2 linked regions of the Drosophila melanogaster genome follow. The protein of the gene in region 1 interacts with the protein of each later gene in a pairwise test. Each region holds a gene or a part of one and is shown on either strand. Other genes may lie near its edges.

Region 1 (7,114 bases):
GCCTGATTTCGCACACACACTCACACGCGAATGCCGGCGATAATCCAGATGATAATATTATAAATATGAGGGGAAATATGATACTTTAAGCTACAATACAGTGTTTTTTATGTTTATTTAGCAACGCTTACATAACCGGGCTACAAACCAATGACAAAGCCAGTTGAAAGTTTGGCCCCACATTGATCCATGTTGACAATTTTTGGCGGGTCGCGGAATATAAATAAAAATGCCAAGCTATTCGCATACTTTTACACTCGATTGCCCATTGCGTCGTGGTGTGTGGTCCCAAGTTCCAAGGATTGGGGGAAAGGAGATTTGTTTTCGGATTCGTTGCCGAAACAGTTTATTTTTATTGCCGCGCGGCGCGACTTCGATGCCATATCGATGGCGATGCCGCTCGGCAAGAGGCAAATGCACCCATTTGTCATTTGGACAACGAGCTGACAACAAGTTCAGTGCCACTTGTCATTGCTGAGCCGCGGAAAAATGCCCGGACAGCAGATATCCCGGTGGCAGTGGCTCTTTAAAATATACACAAACAAAAAGGGAGCTGGATCCCAAGCACCCCTTTCATCAAATTATGAAACCTTTTTTTTTGCGTAATGGACTGAACACACAAAGTGCTTTTAATTAAGCATCGATATGTGCTTAAATGTGAAATGCCCTTACATATTTAATTAAAAGGAAATGATATCCCGCTGCCATCTTCAAAGAGACTTTGTCCTCGTTTTTAATTGCGCATTTCATGCATTTTAATGCGACTGGCCACATAAAAGACAGCTCCCATAACCCGAAAGGAAATGTAATGAGCTCAAAACCAAAAAGAGAAATTTACACAAGCCAGGCGAAAATAAATAATATAAAAATGCAAACAAATTAAAAGCAAGGCAAACACATAAATTTTATATGGTTTTCAGCCGAAAAAAGAGCTCTCTGCCAGTACATTGATATGGAATTAAGCTCTCGGGCTGCTAATCAAATGTAAGCACATTTAATGTTTAAATAAACAGAAATGAGTTGATCTGGCGCAAATAGAACAGACGTAATGAAAAGGACTAAATGCTGAAAGGACCACAGCTGGCCTAAGCCTCAGTCCCAACATTTTTCTTTGATTAAGTCCCGCATAAATATTTATGTGCAGCAGCAACAAAAATGCGCATTTATTCCAAACAAAGTGGTATTTAATTGAGAAGTAAAATATAAGAAGCACGTGGTGGCAACGGCATAAAGATTGTGATTTCCATTCGAATACGAGATATCCTGGGTAAAATAATTTGTTTCCTGAAAATGTCTGAAATTAAAAAAAAAAAATAAAAAATAACCGAATGGAAATTAGTTTTAATTGCATCTTAAACTAACTAAAAAATCTTTCTGATTCAAAATGCAATAACAGAGTTTGCTGTGATGGTAGCGTTATTAAACGCATTTAAATCATCAACTCTTTAATTCCCCTCTTATTTCATGATCATAAAACTGTAAAATAAACTTCAATATGAAAGCAAACACATGCGATGTGCGATGCTTCTGTTCCCGACGAGGACGCCACTTGAAAAAATACCATAAATTGTGTTATTGAGTTAGCAGTGGGGCTCTCATCACCGAAAAAGCTGAAACAAAACACAAATACGGACCACGAGAGCCACTTTCAGACTTGGCAAACAAAACAAAGTCACCGAAGACCGAGAATTTGTGTGTATTTTGGTGGGGATATTTTTGTGTCTTCGTTTTATTTCTTTTGAAGTGCCACACAACCAAAACGGAGCACACAGCTTAGAGTATTTCGGCTTCTTTGGGGCATAATTCCCTTTAAAAACTTTAACGATTTTTAAATAATTTTTTATTGTCGAGAAATTCGCTGGGGTATGATTGGCATTCAAGAAGTTTTAAGTGCCAACATCGCGACTGTGCCTCACAAACTTTATTTGCGTCTTAGTTTAATTTCTGAGTTTATTTGGTTTGTTTGCAAAGTTGTATAAACGGTTGCGCCCATAAACCAATCTCAGTGGGGCCAACGACAAAACAATACATTTGCCATCATTAAATTAGCGACATAATTCCGTTAAAGCCAGAGTTGCGGCCATATTGGCAATTTAGCCTATGAATACCCGTGCTAAAAAACATGGACTTCAAGGACACTCCCTACCATTTTTTGTCCAGTTAATCCCATTGTTTGCCAATATTGCGTGGCAATATTTTTAAGCCGCATTTATGCGTTCGTTTATATTTAATTTGCATTCATAAATTTGCATAGGTCACCATTTCACTTCGGCAAAAACCAAAGTATAATAAACTTTTGCGTTTATTTTGCAGCATTTTGCACTGAAAAACCAGCGAAGTAAATGGCGCTAGGCAAATAAACTGGAACTGGGATTGAATTGTCACAGCTGCAATTTTTCAAATGTCAAATCAAAACAGAAAACCAATTACTTTCGATGATTAATTACCACATTCTGAGGAACAAATGCTGCAGACCGCAGAATGATTTTGATTGCGAACTGGGCTAACAGTTCGTTTGATTTATGATGCGATCAACCCTTTGCTGACAAGTCCCCGATGTGACGTGGCACTCATCCCATATTCCCAAAGGACCCCCAATCCAAAGTTTCCTGAACTTGGTCCTGCGACATGGAAATCACCTTAAAATTCATAAGTTAGTCCGGAGGGGGACAAGACAGCAAAATTTACTAAAGGTTCCTGGGGGCTCCAGGGAGAAACCGCAAGTAAAACAGCAGCTGCATGTCATTAAGTATATGGGAACCCCGGCGTAATCCTCACCACTTGGCGCCGCGCAACATGGCGGATGCGTAACGCGACCAACTTTTCAGCGCTTCATTTCTCGAACATTTAGAACACCCAATTTTTGGAGTATATGACACCTTTCCGCCGACACTGCGTTTTATTTAATATTTTTTGCCTATTTTTTTTTTTTTTTTGTTTAAAAGCTGCAGATTATGCGCACAAAAAGCGACAGTTTATGTATGAAATTATGCAAACCAGACCAGCAGACGATAATGATGGTGGTTTGAAATCCTGCGGCTGATGATGATTATTTTCCACAGTCAGGACTCTTTAAGTCCGTCAAGGCCGTCGCAAAAGTGAAAAAAGAGTTGCGCTTTGTTCAAAATAAAAGTGTTTTTTTTTTTTTTTTGGGATTTAATGATTAAAATTAAAAGTGAATTGTTATATGGCTGCATGGAAAATTCATATTTTAATTACAATTTGCTTCGGCCGTAAGTGACCCAAATTTAAATGTATAAAGAAAGAAAGGGTTCCTTTCAACCCTTTGGCAGCCGACAGTGTCCTCAGCTGCATGCCTGGTTGCATAATTATGATGCCAAACTGGTTCGCTGACCAGCAAGAAAAAGCATGCGAAAGGGAAAAACCCCAAAAGTCTAAAACCCAAGTTACTTGAGCATGACGAATGGCTTTGTTGAGTTTACCACTTTTTCAGGAGATTTTATTAAAAATTCCTTAGACACAGGTGCTGTTTGCAAAAGTTTCCAATTCTCCTTCTGCCAAATAATGGGATGGATGGTTTTATTTCTTTGGCGTTCTCTGTGTCCTTAACGCTGGTGAAACCTGTTGTCGAGGATTAAATATTAATGGCACCCATTAATATAATCTTCGGCCATCCGAAACCGATAAAATTTCCCTAATGTCGCGATATTTATTGGCTCTAATTTATGCTCGAGAGAAAGGAGCCCAAAATCAATAACACTTCTGTAATTACTCATTGATTTATTCTACTCAGCTATTCAGGGACGTATTTTCAGATTCTAGGAAAGTTAATTTTTTCGCGGAAACCGTTTTAAGCGAAACCCTCTAAGAGCGGAAGTATACGCGATCTGATATGTTCGCGAGTGCGCAGGTAGTGTTTGTCTTGCGGTTTCTGATTGGCAAGACATCCGAGCAGGTGTAAATCAATCTTAGCTCAGAGGTAACTACTCGTGTGCCTTGGAAATATAAAGATAAACAACAATATGCGTGGCCAATGGGAACGTTTTTCAATCGATTTATAAAATGCTTTTGGTAGTTGTACTTTGGTAGAACTGTATAGAATCATGTAAATTCATATTTATTAACATTTAGATCATATTTTTATAACTTTAAATATGGAAATTAAATACAAAAAAAAAATAGACAAGGATAAGATAAGGTAAATTTATTCATTTTGAGCAAATAAATATGGTTTTCCATCCATAGTTTTTTAACATGACACGTGGAAATTTAAAAATAAATATAATAAGTCTGCCCCATCCAACCCTTTTCTTCCCAAAAATAACAGTTTGAAATTTATTATCAAATGATATATTATAAAGTTATTATTATGGAAGGTACTGAATCAGGTTTGACCTCTTTCTTCTCTTTTTCGCAGCAATAAATTACGCATAAAATTAATTCCAGGTAATGTTATAAAAACAAAGTAAACAAAATCCAGGGATCCTTCGTCAAACTTACCCAATGCACAACGGCATGTAAATCGAAAATTACCAGAAATTGTCACTTTACATCACGCCTGCTGCAGGACCTATAAATCATACTGCACACACACTTATGCACGGGCGACACAGGAGCCACAATCTGGTCTAGTATTTTGGCAGCGCAGATCCTTTCGGGTATGAGTGTGCGAGTGAATATTCAAATCAGTTGCTGGCTGCCAATAAATGAAACTTGCCACACATCTCACTCACTGAGCGCACATACACAAACACACGCCCACACACACTCTTAAATTGTGTCGGGATATTTGAATGGTCCCGTGTATTTAGCAAATGAACCGTACTTTCTGTTCTGTTTAACTTTTTGGCAACCCGCACTAACCAAATATTACAGACTTTAGCACGGCAAAGCGATCGGCGAACGGGAATCAAGCTAAATGCCAGATGAATGGCACCGTCATTACGACTTTCGCAACTCTCGGGCTGCCAATTAACTCGCCCGATAATTTAATTACGGTTAGGGCCTCCAGGATTGGGTCCTGATGTGTTGCCAAGTCTTATCGGCCAGATCTGCGGCAGAGCAATCCTACGGATGAAATACGCTAAAATCACTGGGCTGATTAAGCCGAATCGAACTGCAATCCGCACTCTGCGCGAGCCAAACGTACACTGAAGTCGGCCGAAAGCGCGCTGAAAGTTAAATCGGAAGTCGAGAACGCGGCTGGAGCTTCCAACGGCTCGAGACAGTCCGAGCGGCACTTGCAACATGTTGCAAGTTCGTGTGTGACTTCGGGAATTCTATGTTGTTGAGTCCGGACTTTCGATCTTTGAATTTCTTTCGTTGTAGGGAGTTACTTCTGTTAGCATATTTTTTAATTTTATGTTAACCATTTAAGATACAAACATGAGAGAATGCTATAGTCGAGTTCCCTAACTTTTAGATGCCCCTTACTCAGCTAGTGGGAATACGAACGCGAAATTCGATCATTTTTCTGGGATATCGATGAATGTGAAAACATTTAAAAATTGTTCTAAAGTCTGGGCGTTAGAGTGGGCATGGCAAAAAGTTTTGTGTCTAATCGATAAGAATTAACAAGACTAATAAAATTATAAACAAATTTGATTTGGGCGGTTTGTCGTTAGAGTGGGCGTGGCAACAGGGCCAAAAAATCTGTGCTGCGTCTATGTCTCTAGAATCTGTCCGCTTAATCACAACCTTCTTGCTTTTATAGTTCCTATGATTCTTTCATACGGCCGGCAAGACAGGCGAACATAGCCAGATCTACTCGGTTTTGTATCTTAATTAAATGGAAATTCCTTCTATTTGTTTCAACGAATCTAGTGTACCCTTTTACTCCACGAGTACCTGGTATAAATAGTACTTCTTAGGGTGACAATCCTAAGCAAATATCCAATTTGGAAATCATGGAAATCGGACAATGATTGTTGGCGCGTTGAAATGGTACTTTTTATCGCAGTGTGACCTTTGGCACTTAAAATACTGGTATTGTGTCCTGGAACTTTCAAGATTTTTTGACATATGTTCAAACAGCTTTCTTGTAAATTTGCAAATAAAAAGCAAGGAAACGGGTTCAACTGAATTTGTAAAAAGTTGTAAGTTCCAAGGCAGAATTCATTGGTAGTATTAAAACTGCAAAAACAGGTGCGATTTCAAATGGGTGATTCCAGCGACTCAGACTCTTCTACTGAATGGGAGCAGAACACTAGGGTTATTTCCTTACCCTTTTCCAGAAACCGTTCACATTTGAGCTCTCGCCTCAGTTACCTGGTAAGTTCATGTTCACCCAGCTCTGAAATCTATTGATAATACACTTTATGGAATAGGTGGGACTTCAAATGGAAAACTTCAGGACCTCGAATAATTCTGGAGTATCACAGCGAATCCATAACACCGGGCCCACTCCCGTACTCGCGCCCTCCGGATTAAGATCCCGCTTACTCAGCGGTTCCTCTGTAAGTTATTGTTCTAGCCAGGTCCCACCCAGAATCCATTGGTTACATTACAACATCATTTAATAGGAGCGGAATCCAAATGAGTATTACGGAGACTCGGACTCCTCAAGCAGCAGCAGATCTATCGACAGAACCCCATTCCTGGTAAGTTCTTGTTCGTTCATCTCGATCCGGAATCCATAGGTTTTAATAGCTTTAACTTTGTTGTGCAGTTGGAGTATTCCAGCGACTCAGAGTCGTCTAGTTCCAGTGATAGTGAAAGCTCATCGACCAGCATTAGCTTCGATAGCAGTATGAGCTCCACCGAATCATCAACACCAATGGGACATACAGAATCCTCAGATTCAAACGAGGATTCTCCTCCCAACAAACGGATCAAATCAGATGACGAGGAGTCCAAGAAATCTGTCTTGCCCTACAACTGCCCTGTGTGCCTGGAAGATGTCCGCGAGAAGCTACCAGTGTCCACCAATTGTGGCCACGTTTTCTGCAAAGCGTGCATTAAGAGAGCTGTCGACACTGGCAGGGTATGCCCATTGTGCGGAGTGGATGAGCCCGAATTCCATCGTATTTTCTTGTAAGACGTGATATGGCAGAAAGCATACTAAACTAAAAATACCACGGTTTTAAATACCACAAATAGACTTGTGGCATATACTTTCGAAAGACCGTAACACAATATTCACACCTAAAGAAAC
Region 2 (7,114 bases), on another chromosome or scaffold:
ATCCTCGAGTGAGAAGTCAGTGCTTTGTTGACAGATTTATTGCGAGTAAAGTAACCGCGCTGGCGCGAAAAATGTTCATTAAAACGAGCAGCGCAAATGCGTCGTATCCGAGTACAATTGCCTTTTGTTTTGGACATATTAGTCAGTAATTTGGGCAGGTCTGATCACTCATATTTTCGCCATGTCAAGGCAAAGCCCGATCTCAATGCTACTCGCTGGATCGGCCTTTTCCGCCCTATTGCCTGTTTGCTTCCGGGACAACTTGAATTTCGCCTAATTAATTCATTCCGAATTATTTGCATGCAACGCGACTGCAATTCCACGCGGAAATAATTACCATGTGAAAAGCTGTTGACTCTACTAAGGTAGCTACGGAAAGCCTGAAATCAATCGATTTCAATCAATTCTAGCATTAAGTTCCCAACCTGTTTGCTAAGTGTAACGAGGTGTAAGCACATTCTAAACATTTTCTATTGATCTTGCTTGAATTGCATTTACACGAAGTGTGTTAACTAACTTGTTTCTATTAAACCATATTGGCTGATATTTATTTCCCACAATTTGGCCAAACAAACAATGCTTTCAGCATTTTATAAAAACAAGAGTAATCACTTTCATCGAGTTCCTGACTATCAGATACCTATTACCCAGCTAAAGGAAGTCCAGATGAACTTGGCTAGTTCGACTGCCTAGTCTTTGTTCGAATACACATACATATGTACATATATACGGAGGATTGCGAAGGATACATTTTTAAATTGTCTTCGGCTACCTTAGAAATTATCAAAACATAATAGAATTCCGGAAACAAAAAGAAAATAAAGCGTCGAAGATATGCTTTCTATCAAATACATTTCAAGTTCAGGTCTACCCTACAAGTATTGTGTATAATAATTAATTAGGAATTTATAAGGAATGTACCCTAGTCTCGAAAACCATAAGGAATACTTAACCATGGTATTGGACTTATATTTCTGAAACGGAAGTTTCTTATAACGATCAATTTGTGGTGTTCTTCTAAATGTTAGTCTTATTGGGCATATTGCAGCTCCTTTTCGTTTTGCTGTTCGCGCTTCGGCTCACTAATTAAGTCAATTTACTGACAAGCTATTTAACTAATTTCCCGGGGTTTCAAAGACTGCTGTTGTAAACTCTAGTTAGAGTAGAGTAAGTCTAGTTACGCTAGTTACTCCAGTTTGTCGAATCAAATCGGGGAAGTTGAAACTCAAAGCAGAACTAAGGTAATGCAAACCGAAGTGCAAGCTAGGTGATGTCTCAACTTGTTTTAGTGTCATGAACAAGTTGTGAGTATCTTCTGTCTAAAGTGCGGAGATGTGGCTGATAGTGTTGTTGCTTCTGGAATATTTTTAATGCCGTACACGTCGCAGACATAGGCGGACGAAATTCTGTTAATTGTTTTCATTAGTCACTGCAAAACGCTGTCTTCCAATTGACATTATAAGTAGGTACGTGTGCTTATCCCAAGTAAAGTCCCCTAACATCGCTGTGGATGGCAGTTTACGTAGTGACGATGAGAACCGAGAGTCTGATCAGAGCCATTTATGTATATCGTGATCGAATAATCTTTTGATGATTTAAATCTCTTGTTGAATGATGATTAGCTAGGAAGAAGGGGGAGCAATTCTAGTTATAATTCTTGTATTTATAAAACAAGATTTGAATGACATTTTCCAAAATGTGTTTGTCTGCAAAATTTGTTAAAAAAAAGTTTAACTAATTGCCATTTTAGGACTTGAGAAGTGTCATCGTCACTTTAATCCCACATATTTGGAGGTGTTTTTTATAAAGTTTATATACAAAATGTTCGTATTGTACAAACTGGATTGCTACCAGATTAAGATACGAAATCTTGCTTTAATCCAGGAATTGTACGGGTATTGTTATTGGCGCTTAACTGTAATGTAGTAATTGTTTAAAATATTCGAAAACTGCCCAAGACATTTTGGTATTCAAGCGGCGGCCTATCTATCGGTTAGTGGCTTTTATGGTCGGTAGAAGTATATATATGCATATATATGCATATGCATATATATATATATATAATGGGAGTCAGACAAAAGTGTATGCCCTTCTATTTTGTATTTATCAATACATTTAAACCGTTTGTAATGCATTCAATAGCAAACATAATAGCAAACAATAGTATACATATAAAGGTATACTTTCACGTAAATGTAAACGTTTACGGCTCTTTTCCTAACACTTGGCTTCCGCAAATCGCAGTTGTTAGCACGCCCCATTGCGCTATTCGATGTGGAAGCGAGATCCTCTTCTAGACAAACAAACTTTTGTGTTTAAATTATTTATAAGTAGAGAGTAAGCGGTGTGAGCCAGAGCTGCGGCCACGCCGGCGAGCGTTGAGCGATTTAATGTTTGGGTAAGTTTTGGCTGAGGCTTCTTGAGGCTTCTTGAGAGTCGGGCCTCAGATCTCGGATCTGCGATCTCAGGGGATTGGCGTGTAGCCTGTAAATTCGCTGGAAACGCGGCTACGTGCGTGGCATTTGAAGAACGGTGAGCGCGAAAAAAACCCAAATGGTTTGCATATGTAAATACGGAAAGCGAAATCCCAGCTTACTGTTTGAAAGTATTTGCCACCTTAGTGGCATCCGCCGAGGAGCGCCTGAGTGGCTCCAGTCCGGGTAAGAACAATGAGCAAGCCCTTCTGGGCGGTTCAATTTATGATGTCCAATTACAGCCAACGCGGAAGCGATCGTCGATCTGGAGCCATTCACTACCATTATCCCATTATCGATCAGTAAGTCACAAGACCTCGAAAGTCGGTCCCAGAAGCGGTTTTCGTTCGACCACCTCGCCTGACTGGGAAACACTCAAGGAAACTTTTTGCCACGATCAGGATGCCCTGCGACAAGTCCAAGGCCAAAATCGGGTCATTGCAGATCCGGTTTTGTGCGAATCGTTTCCGCACTTGTTTCGAGTTGCCTTGGATTACCATTTTGTATATTTTTAGTGCAAGAAAAACTCTGGCAATTATTCGCGAAGGGCGCACTAATTGCGCTTCTGCTACTTTGGACCCAATGTCAACGGTGAAAAGCTTTACGATGCTGGCTAATTCTTATGCATTATCTCGAGGGGTCAGCAAAACAAAACCTATCGGTATATTGGGAGTCAACAGTCCAGAAACCAGAACAGCTGCTCAAACAGCATACAAATCCGCCCAGCTGTTCGTGGTCTGCCGCTGCGCTGCCAGTCAGGCCAGGGCTAAATCCCGCCGGAATCCCGCCTGCGACCACACGTCGAGGATTCTCCAGAGGTCCTCAGCATCGGATCCTCGCTGGGAATCAAATGCCCCACGCAAGCTGATTTTGTGCAACCGCCAAATGGCAGGGTTGCCACACCATTGGAAACACCGGATCGAACAGCCCGATTGGCCAGTCAAATCGATTAGCTCGGACGATCTGCGCCTTATAGCCGGGCAGATTGGCCAGAGCGGGGAGGTGTTTTGGCGTGGAGAGCGCCGTCCAAAATGCTTATTGTGAACGGACCAAGCGCCGCGCAGTTGCAAAAGAGCGAAAAACAAAAATCACATGTGCGAACAACTTACAGCTTACCACTTGCAAACAGCTCGAAATCCGCAACGGAAGGCGGCCAGCAGCAGCTCGGTTGGTAAATCGCTGGCAACCGAAATCTGAAAACTAAAAACTGCAAAAACCACAACACACAAATTGCGCGGCCCGAACTATTTCACAAAGTGTTGCCAAAGAACTTTGTAAAATGATTACTTTCGCAATAGCTTTTGGCTCTTGGCTTTCGGCTTTCGCACACGGGATCGGTGACTGCGTCTGCGATTAGCGCGCGCTTGACTTCTGAATGAAAACTGAGCCGCGATCGCGCCGCGCGGCTAATTAAACGCGGATCGCGCGACGCCGACGAAGCGGAGGCGCAGGCGCAACCGCGAGCGCCAGCGCAGGGAAGAACGCCACTGGCAGCGCAGCGGCTGCGGTGGAAACGTTACGGTCAGCGGCAAGCACCGACCGAGTGCAGTGCGAAAACTTTCCGCCGCCGAGCGTCAAGTGCAGTGCACGAAGATGGCAAATGGCCTGATTGGCTCTTGGCTATTCCCGGACACCGGGAATGATGCGACTCGATTCAGATCCGGAGATCCCGAACCCAAGACCCAAATCTGAACCCGAACCTTGTTTTTTTTTGTCTGATGTCAGCGGCGCAGGCAAGGTTCAAGTGTGGCTACCGTCGCAATAGCAATCGCACACTGCCAGCGAGTAAATATTACATGGAGTGAACTTCCGAACAGCCCCGATACCTGGCCTTTCACAGCGTTAAATCATCCATGTTAATTACGAGGCGTACGATTCCTGCCCGTGTAGGTGATCTGGCTTATAATCATGGATACGCACAGATATACGGCCTTATTCGAAACTTTGGGCCAACCGTATGACCAACAATTAAGAATTGCTTGGAACATGATGAAAGAGTTTTCGCAAAATATGGGGTGACTTAAGATTTATTGTCTAATTATCCTACAATTATATGTTCCAAATCGATAGTATTTAAGAAAATAGGGGTTTTATTTTTATAGCGGTCGTTACTCGCAGCTTTTGCCTGAATTAATAGTTTTTTTCCAACAGTTTTTTTAATTCTCCAAAGTTCATTCCTTGTAAACGAAATTCGGATACTTGGTAGTAATAATACAATTGATAATTGGTCAGGGTTCAGTGTTTGGTCACAACGCATCAAAGGGCGCGTGCCAAAGTGAGCTGGGAAATAGTTATTATTATCTAACGCTAACACTAGCCTGAAGTGCCGATAGTCTCCGTCGCAGCTCCAGCTCCAAATACGCCGGTGCATTATGATGCATTAAGTTATGTCAACTTGGCTAACATCGCGCCCTGTCCGGCTGATGCGGCAAGAGTCGAGAGCCGACAAGGTCAAGAGGGGCTTAAATATTAGCCTGTACAGCCCAGCTGTCGCCGCCTGTTAGCGGATTTGTTTGCCAAAAATTAGTACGCGTCTATTAAGTACTGGCCCATTTGTACATTAAGTCAGTGGCAATCTGTATTGTTATTTGATTTTTTCGATTGTTTGGTACGTTTCTGCACTTTTGCACAGCCGAGCGTTCAACGATCATCGTAAAAAAAAAAACAAGAGAGATCTTGACGTTTATACGGTCTATTGGTCCTGATGAAGTAATATGTTCTTTATCGAGTCAGAAAAGAACATAAACTGCCTACCTATAGTCTACCCTTTGACTCTACGGGTAATGGGTATTACATTTTAATCTGTTGTTTGAGACAAAACAATTGTGAAAAGCAAATAATCATTTGCAAACGCGTTTTTAATGACATGTAGCACAAATTATGGGCTTAGGTAAAGTATTTCAAAAAATGCTTTTTAAGGGACGAACAAGACGCCCAAAAGGTTCCAATTTAATTTTAACATATGTTTGGTAGTGGGGCTCAGCCAAATTTTTTTTTACTTTTCTCAAAGTCTTGGTATGTAATCGCTTGATCTTTTACGCTAAGATCGGACTACCATAACCGCTTTAAATTTCTTTCTTTTCAACGAATCTACATATATACCCTTTAATTCTGAAAATGACGTCATAGTACTGCAGACGCAAATAAGCTACAGGTGCAAGGCTAACTTCCTTTCTCGTTGCGGTTTAAGTTATAAACGTCGCAAGGAGTTCTTAAATTAAAGTTAAAACTTAGCAACGACGTAGTTCAAAGGACTTTTCTTGTGGAGGGAGACACTAAATATATCCTATAATATAGTGTTATTGGTTTAATAAATATAATATAGTTTTATTTGGAATATTCATGTAATTCATAAAATATTTATGATTTGGTTCACTACTTGGTCGTATAAAGTGGGAAATGTGAAATTTGATTCATGCTCAGCGTAATTCCTAATGCGATTATTTCAAGAGTTCTTTTTTATTAAAAGTTCAAAAGGCACATCAGGTGTTAGGCCTGGTGTATGCAATATTAATTCGGTAGAATTTGTAAATTAATATGTGACTTGTAAATAAAATATTACACTTGACCCATTCTCGGAAATTTTGTTAAGTAAGCAACAGGCATCTGATAGTAAAGGCATTATTTTAAAGCCTTTATTATTTCTAGATTTTCGTGGCTGGCAAGATGCCTTGTATTTCTCTGAAACAATGTCCAATCTCATTAGGGGATAGGCCACATGGGTCAATTGCCACACCCTCAGAGGCTCTAAAGCCTCTAATTATCAGTTATAAGTGGGAATACACTTAATGTGTTCGTTTATTAACAATTACACTGTACACTGGCCCCAGGGATTCAATCCCGTCATGAAAGTTATACACACGTACAAAATATGCGTTAATACAATTGAAATATTTTCTTGAACAGTTTTAATATAAATTAAAAAGCTTTATTTAGGTTTTCTATAGTTTTTGAACTTGTCAGCTTAAGCCACATAATCTAACAACGAAACCATACGCACGGATTAACAGACAGAATTACACTTACAAATAATTTGTCACCAATACTTCTCACTGCGCTGAAAAACCGTTTAACAACTTCAAACCAAAAATGGAAACAAGCGGATATTGAATAGGTAGTAATAAAGTAATATATATGAGCCACACCAAAAAGAGGTTCAATGCAATGCGAAAATAGTTGAAAACTTTTGTTAAGATTCATTTACATTGGTCGGCAACCAACTAATAAACTGATTGTCTTCGTCCTTAAGCCGGTTTGCACTTACAGTATAAAAGCTTTATCTCCATGATCTTTGTCACTCTTTCTTGTCTGACTATAGTGTGATCTTCGGTCCGGTCGTCCGTTTAGTTGTCACAATTGTCCAGGAAGGCCAAGGGGAGGTCTGGGTCGTGCTGCATTTTGCAATTGGCTAGCTAGCTACAATGTATAAATAAGTTTAACTATTAGACCTTTACAAAGTATTGCAACAAAATGCCGTTCTCTCTCAATATACAAAACAAGCTACAAATAGTATAACGTCTTCTTTGAGTTTAGAGCAGACTGAAGAGAGCATGTATAGCTTTCATATATCATAGGTTCGGCCGCCGTAACATCTCAATTTGTTATCAAAAATGTTCATACAAAATTTTACACCTAAAGTG

The links.
Region 2: the proteins of rdo (region 1) and CG31522 interact in a two-hybrid assay, tested with the Drosophila melanogaster proteins (one large-scale study listed by BioGRID).

The regions. Positions count from the first base shown.
Region 1 is NT_033779.5:18,010,380-18,017,493, reverse strand, and holds the start of rdo (reduced ocelli), read right to left. Parts: upstream 5,115-7,114; 5' UTR 4,462-5,114; intron 1-4,461. Other genes in the region: elfless, read left to right, coding at 6,118-6,231, 6,288-6,416, 6,483-6,560, 6,629-6,997.
Region 2 is NT_033777.3:4,459,037-4,466,150, forward strand, and holds the start of CG31522 (uncharacterized protein), read right to left. Parts: upstream 3,848-7,114; 5' UTR 3,591-3,847; exon of another isoform or gene 3,584-3,590; intron 1-3,583.